Linked DNA regions of Ovis aries. The protein of the gene in region 1 interacts with the protein of each later gene in a pairwise test. Links are inferred from orthologs where the notes say so. Each region holds a gene or a part of one and is shown in the gene's direction. Other genes may lie near its edges.

Region 1 (4,312 bases):
GGAGAATCCCAGGGACGGGGGAGCCTGGTGGGCTGCCGTCTATGGGGTTGCACAGAGTCGGACACGACTGAAGTGACTTAGCAGCAGCAGCAGCAGCCCCAGGCTGGAGACAACATGATCCTGAGCTGCCCTGAGGTCAGTCTGAAACCTTCATAGCATCTTAAAAGTCCATGAACATTTATGGACTAACTTCCAGTGCTCTGGTAGATGCTCCTGGGAAAACAGAGACAAATCCATGCAGCCCTTACCCTCCCTGGGTGACCTTGGGGAGATAGACAGCTCCATGGGAAGGAATTATCGGTGAAGGGCCTCAGTCGTAGTTCTTAACCGTGGTGCTTCTCCGACATGGTGGGACCCAGTGACACATTTGACCTGCAGCCACTGTGGAGGCGAGAAGTGACTCCAGACCAGGGTGGCATGACCTGCCAAAGACTTAAGGAGTGGGTCAGATTTGGAGAGGCAGAAAGGAGGGGGGATGCCACCAACCACTGAAGGGAATAATGGGATGTATGTGAAGCCAATTACACACATTATCTCATTTAAGCCCAAACAATGCCATGAGGTCAGTACTGGTGTCACCTCCATTTCATTTTGCAAAGATGAGACACAGAGACACACAGCAACTCATTCAAGGTCTTGCCACCAAAAGTGGTAGGCGGAGGCTACTTCCCTCTGACTTCCCATTTTTTCTCTGAAGCCACAGGTGTGCTTTGCCAGGTTCTGGGCATCTCCTGTGTGCTCAGTTTCACAGACGTGTCTGACTCTTTTGCGATCCCATGGACTGTACCCCACCATGCTCCTCTGTTCATGGAATTTTCCAGGCAAGAATATATGGGTTGCCATACCCTCCTCCAAGGGATTGTCCCAACTCAGGGATTGAACCTGAGTCTCCTGTGTCTTCTGCACTGCAGGTGGATTCTTTACTGAGTGAGCCACTGGGGAAGCCCTACCTTTTATTTATTATTTTTGGCTACACTAGGTCTTTGTTGTGGCACATGGGCTTTCTCTAGCTGTGAGCAGGGGGTTACTCTCTTGTGGTCCATGCGCTTCTCTTTGCAGTGGCTTCTCTTGTTATGGAGCAAGGGCTCTAGGGCGCTAGTGCTTCAGCTCAGTAGTTGTGGAGCATGGGCTTAGTTGCTCTGGGGCATGTGGGATCTTGGTTTGCAGACCAGGGATCGAACCTAGGTTGGCAGGTGGATTCTTACCACTGAATCAACAGGGATCCTGCATCTCCTACCCTTAATGTGGGAAAGCTCTCCTCCTTGCTTTTCCCCTCTAATACAGGGCTGGAGACAGACAAAGGGGAAGCTTGAAGTTCTGGCTAAAGAGTTAGGGATTGAGTTTCTTTTTCTCCTTCCTCAACCCTGAAGTCTTGCTCAATAGCAGCTGAGCAGTGGGGCTGCAAGGTTGCTTCACTTCTAGAAGGCCGGCCGCAGCCTTCCTGGCCCAAACCCACTTCCGGTCTTCGTGCCTCTTTTGTCACAAGGTGATTCTCACACTTCCTGTTGATTTCCACTTTGTTTCAGCTGCTTCAGCTCCAGCCACTTTGTGCTGCTGTTGATCTGATCTGCGAGGCCTGGGACACAGGACCAGGTATGTTGGGATGGTGGGGACTGGGGGGTCAGCTTGGATAAGGTCTGGGCCAGATCAGGGCCAGAGTGGGGGGCTCCTGGTAGACCCTTTCTGTCCATTGTGGGGGACTGTCAGAGGCTGGGGTCAGTTTGTGAAGTTGGTTATGTCCCTGTGAGGGATGGTACCAGGGGTGGCTTCCTGAAACCAGATCATTTGACCTCTACCCCCCTAAAATCTCATCACCTTGATTTGGTTGTGTGTTACGTGAGCTGCCCAGGTAACATTTTTCTAGGCTGTAGAGCGAGCTTCATCTCTGGGAGATGGCTTCTCTGGGATTGACTTCGACACAGCTGGTGTGATGCTTGAAAGTTTGCTGAGCTGACCGAGTTGGGGCTTGTGATTAAGTCCTGGCTCCTTGTCTTACTGACGGGCAATTCACTGTCTTCTGAACCTTTCTGGTCTACACAGTTCAAAAATGTCTCTGTTTTTTGGGATGTTGGTGATGCTTAAGCAGGATGATGATTGTGAAAGTGTTTTGTAAACTGTAAGACGGCATTCTCAGGGTGTGAGGTTACTTTCATTTTCTAAATGGAACTAGATACCTTTTTTTCCTGATTGTGGTAACTGGTGAAAATATAAACAAAGAGAAAGGGAAAATTTTTACATAATTCCAGCCCCAGAGATTATTAGTGACACTGGTATATAAAGTTCTACTTAAAAAATTGAATTTTTAAAAAATTTGATAAAATATACTGATTCAACGGATACGAACATGGGCAAACTCTGGGAGATGGTAAGGGACAGGAAGTCTGGTGTGCTGCAGTCCATGGGGTCACAAAGAGTTGGACACAACTGAGTGACTGAACAAGAACAACAAAATATACATGAAATAAAAATTAGTTTTTAAGCATACAGCTTAGTGGCATTAAGTACATTCCCATTGACATGCACCCATCACCAAGATCCATCTCCAGATTTTTTTTCTTCTCCAAGTGAAACTGTGTACCCATTAAACAGTATCTCCCTAGTCTTCCCCACCCGTCTCTGGCAACTACCACTCTACTCTCTCTTGAATGGAACCATACAGTATTTGTCCTCTGATGGCTGGCTTATTTCACATAGTGTAATGTCTTCAAGGTTCATGCATGTTGTAGCAGGTGTCAAAATTGCCTTCCTTTTTTAAAGTGAAAGTGAAGTCGCTCAGTCGTGTCTGACTCTTTGCGACCCCATGGACTATATCCTACTATATCCTATCAGGCTCCTCTGTCCATGGAATTTTCCAGGCAAGAGTACTGGAGTGGGTTGCCATTTCCTTCTCCAGGGCATCTTCCTGACGCAGGGATTGAACCCGGGTCTCCCACACTGCAAGCAGACACTTTACCCTCTGAGCTGAAAAATATTGCATTGTCTATAGACACCACATTTTGTTTATATCATCTGCTGATGGACAGGATTGCTTCCACCTTTTGGTTATTGTAAATAATGCTGCTGTGAATACGAGTGTGCAGATGGCTACTTGAGTCCTTGCTTTTAATTCTTTTTCGTATTCACAAATGGATTTGCTGAATCATATGGTAATTCTGTGTTTACTTTTTTGAGGAACTTTCAGAATGTTTTCCATAGTGGCTGTACCATTTTGGATTCCTACCAGCAATGTACAAGGGTTCCAATCTCTCTACATCCTTACCAACACTTATTTTCTGGTGGTGGTTTTTTTCTTCCTCCCAGGGGGTGTGGTATCTCGTTGTAGTTTTGATTTGTGTTTCCCTGATGATTAGTGATGTAGAGCTCCTTTTCATGTACTTGTTAGCCATCTGTATACTTCTCTGGAGAAATACCTGTTCAAGTTCTTGGCCCATTTTTAAATCGAGTTGTTTGGTATTTTTGTTATTGAGTTGTAGTAGTGGTAGTTGTAGTAGTTCTTTATATATTTTGGAAATTAACTAGACTTCTAAAACAATATTTCTTGTGTCAAACTGTATTTACTGTTCTCTAACCATTTTTAAACTTGTTTATTTATTGGCTGTGCTGGGTCTTTGCTGCCTGTGGGCTTTTCTTTAGTTTCGGGAAGTGGGGGCTACTCTTCTTTGTGGTGCTTGGGATTCTCATTGCAGTGGCTTCTCTTGTTGCAGAGCATGGGCTGTAGGGCATATGGGCTTCAGCAGTTGTGGTGCGCGGGTTCAATAGTTAGTGGTTACCCGGCTCTAGAGCTTAGGCTCAATATTTGTTGCGGGCAGACTTAGTTGCTCTGCAGCATGTGAGATCTTTCCGGATCAGGGATTCAACCTGCGTCTCCTACACTGGCAGGCAGATTCTTTACCACTGAGCCACCAGAGAAGCCCTCTTTTTTTCACTTAGTATCACTTGAGTATCATCTCATGTTAATTTATAAAATCTTCCTTGTCCTTCCTAACAGCTGTGTAGTATTCCAGTGCTTGGATTATACTATGATTTATTAAATGAGTCTCCTGGGTGTTTAGGTTGTTTCCAGTTTTGGGCATAATGATAAAACAATGCTGCAGTAAACATCACTGAACATACGTCTTTGCATATTACTTCTATAATTTCCTTAGGATAAATCCTTAATAAGTTGAGTGCTGGGTAAAAGGTTATACATATATTCACAGTTTTAATTCATTTGTCCAGATTCCTCTAATAAATGTCATACCATTTGTTTTAAATTTCATATCCACTTTTATTAAGGCAATTACAAAGATTACATTGAAGAATAGCAATTCCT
Region 2 (3,519 bases), on another chromosome or scaffold:
CTAAATGAGCTTACTTAGATAAGCTGATAAATCTACTTAAAATGTTCTTGTCAAATATTCATTGAGTGTGTGTTACGAGCCAGGACAGTGTGAGAAATGCTAGAAAAGTACAAAAAGATAAAATAGCTATAACTAAATAAGTTTAGTGCTTCAAGTAGTACTGTGGAGATAAGACATAACCAAATAACACGATCATTTGCTAAATTAAAGTTACATTAGTAAGTCATTAAGTATTTTTCTACATTATAGCCGTAGTATAGCTATGAAATTTAGATGCTAAAATTTTAGAATTATAAAGGGATGACCACAGAAGCTATATCTAGTATCTTTTTTCCACTTATACCCAAAAGGTTTAAATGCTTTATATGTCAATTTATATTTCCCTAAAAAGATCCCTTTTCTCAGAAATACATTTCATTTATAAACAGGAAAGTACTCCTTAAGTAATATTCTCAAAGTCTCTCACATGGAAACGTTGAAGTTTTATATTTTCCCATCAACTTCTCAGTTTGAGGCTTTAATATACCAGAAGATCATAATTTAAAAATAACTCAGTTTGTGAAATTATGACAAGTCCTGTCACCTTTTTCCTTTCTTACAATTATTAAAAATCTTTTAATTAACTTTGAATTTTTTCTTTTAGAAAACATTGTTTAAAAAAAATTAAATAAAGAGAAAACATTGTTAAAGTTCTACGTTTTCTGTTTTATTAGGAAATCCAGACTTGTCATTGTTTCAGTAGATAATATGCTTGTTAAAATTTAGGTATATTATTATTCTTTACTATGTAATTCAAAGTATAGCATATAAACTGTTTATTAGACATTATTTTTACACTTCTGTATATACTATGCAGAGTCCATTTTTTGTGAGTGAAATTCACAGATGGGACAAGTCACAAAAGCAAGAATGTGAACTTCTCTTCCATTAATGACATTAAAAGAAAAAGAGAGCAACAGATGTAGGTTTAAGATAAGATGACCCTAATTTTCATCTCATAAAATTTGCTCTCCTATTTGTGCATCTCAGTGTTGCATTTTCTTTTTCAATTATACTGTCAAAATGTTGGCTTATTTCTTCAAAGTTTTACTTTATACTTAAGCCATTTCTTAACTTCAAAATCTAAGGTAATATGACATTTGTTTTATTTTCACATTTTTGCCCCAGTAAGTTCCTTTTTTGTTGTTTTCTTTTATAGATACAGACATCAGTGAATCTGGCATTTCACTGAGAAGTACTGGCTCAGCAGCTTCCTTGGCTAGTCAGGGAGAGAGAAGGAGACGAACCCTTCCCCAGCTTCCAAGTGAAGAAAAGTCTCTTGAGAGCTCCAGAACAAAGGTTATAGCACAGAGGTCAGAGATAGGAGAAAAGCAAGACACGGAGCTTCAGGAGAAAGAAGCACCTGCCCAGGTATACCAGAAAGATAAACAAGACACTGACAGAGCCTTGAGTAAAATGAACAGGGCAGTAAATGGTGAGACTCTTAAAAATGGTGGAGATAGTAAAGCCCTGCTTCACTTAGGCAGCTCTTACTCTGGGAAGGAGAAAAGTGAAACTGATAAGGAAGCTTCTTTGGTAAAGCAAACATTAGCTAAAATCCAGCAACAAGAACAAAAGGAACAGGCACAGTGGACACCTACTAAATTATCTTCTTCAAAAACCATTGCGGGTCAGATAGATAGATGTAGGGAGGAGTCTTTTAAGCAGGAGTCACAGCCTCAAGAAAAAATTCCAGGACTTTCTGCAGGCAAAGGAGAAAGAGCAATACAAAATGAGGGTAAGAGAAGAAAAGCTGAGGAAATTCTGAAAAGTCAGACCTCAAAGGGAGGAGACAAGAAGGAATCCTCCAAGTCGTTAGTGCGACAAGGAAGCTTCACTATAGAAAAACCTAGCCCCAACATACCCATAGAACTTATCCCCCATATAAATAAACAGCCTTTATCAACACCCCCTTCCTTAGCATTAACAACAGCCAGCAGAATAAGAGAAAGAAGTGATTCTATGGATACTGATTCTAGTATGGACACGACCCTTATTCTAAAAGACACAGAAGCAGTAATGGCTTTTCTAGAAGCTAAACTGCGTGAAGATACTAAAACTGATGAAGGCCCAGATACTCCCAGTTATAACAGAGACAACTCCATTTCACCCGAATCTGATGTGGACACAGCTAGTACCATCAGTCTGGTTACTGGAGAGACTGAAAGAAAGTCAACCCAAAAGCGAAAGAGTTTCACTAGTCTCTATAAAGATAGGTGTTCCACAGGTTCTCCTTCCAAAGATGTTACAAAGTCGTCATCGTCGGGTGCTAGGGAGAAAATTGAAAAAAAAACAAAAAGTCGTTCTGCAGATATAGGTTCTCGGGCAGAGGGTCGTAAATTTGTGCAGTCCAGTGGAAGAATAAGGCAGCCTTCAGTAGATTTAACAGATGATGACCAAACCTCTAGTGTACCTCACTCGGCCATCTCTGATGTTATGTCATCTGACCAGGAAACTTACTCTTGTAAATCTCATGGAAGGACTCCACTTACCTCAACTGATGAGCACGCACATTCCAAACTAGAAGGAAGTAAAGTAACTAAATCCAAGACTTCTCCTGGAGCACCTGGTTCGTCCAGTAAATCCACCACTCTACCAAGGCCACGACCTACCAGGACTTCCCTCTTGCGCAGAGCCCGACTCGGTGAAGCTTCGGACAGTGAACTTGCTGATGCTGACAAAGCATCTGTTGCTTCTGAAGTGTCCACAACAAGTTCGACATCCAAACCTCCCACAGGAAGGCGTAACATTTCTAGGATTGATTTGTTGGCTCAGCCTCGTAGAACAAGGCTTGGCTCATTATCGGCTCGCAGTGACTCTGAAGCAACGATCTCTAGAAGTAGTGCCTCTTCACGGACCGCAGAAGCCATCATTAGAAGTGGAGCCAGATTAGTACCTTCAGATAAATTTTCTCCTAGAATTAGAGCTAACAGTATCTCTCGACTATCCGACTCCAAGGTCAAAAGTATGACCTCAGCACATGGCTCTCCTTCAGGTAAATTGGATCCAGACTTTTTATATTAGTGTATTTCTTTTATGTTTTGGGACTTCTTCTTTGAAAAATTGTTAGTGTCGATTCCCAAAATTTTCAGCAGAAAGATCATACTGTAGAGGGTTTTGTTCCTTAAAAAGTCACCTTAGTTAGCTTGAAAGTGAAGTGAAAGTGTCAGTTGCTCAGTTGTGTCCAACTCTCTGCGATCCCATGGACTGTAGCCCACCAGGCTCCTCTATCCATAGAATTCTCCAGGCAAGAATACTGGAGTGGGTTGCCGTTCCCTTCTCCAGGGGATTTCCTGACCCAGGGATCAAACTCGGGTCTCCTGCAATACAGGTAGATTTTTTACCTTCTGGGCCACCAGGAGGAAAATTCAGAAGTTATATACACTTCCATTTAAAGTCCTGGTACAAAATAGTGAATTCAAAATTTGAAGTATATTGAACCAATTTGAGAATTTTAATTGTCTACTTGGTGAGATATTT

Evidence for each region. The genes of interacting proteins can lie anywhere in the genome.
Region 2: the proteins of NDEL1 (region 1) and CEP170 interact in a two-hybrid assay, tested with the Homo sapiens proteins (2 studies listed by BioGRID and IntAct). The link is inferred for Ovis aries from reciprocal best matches to the Homo sapiens genes NDEL1 and CEP170.

The regions. Positions count from the first base shown.
Region 1 is NC_056064.1:27,824,367-27,828,678, forward strand, and holds the start of NDEL1 (nuclear distribution protein nudE-like 1), read left to right. Parts: upstream 1-1,502; 5' UTR 1,503-4,312. UniProt on the Homo sapiens protein: Required for organization of the cellular microtubule array and microtubule anchoring at the centrosome. May regulate microtubule organization at least in part by targeting the microtubule severing protein KATNA1 to the centrosome.
Region 2 is NC_056065.1:33,253,022-33,256,540, forward strand, and holds part of CEP170 (centrosomal protein of 170 kDa), read left to right. Parts: intron 1-1,198; coding exon 1,199-3,034; intron 3,035-3,519.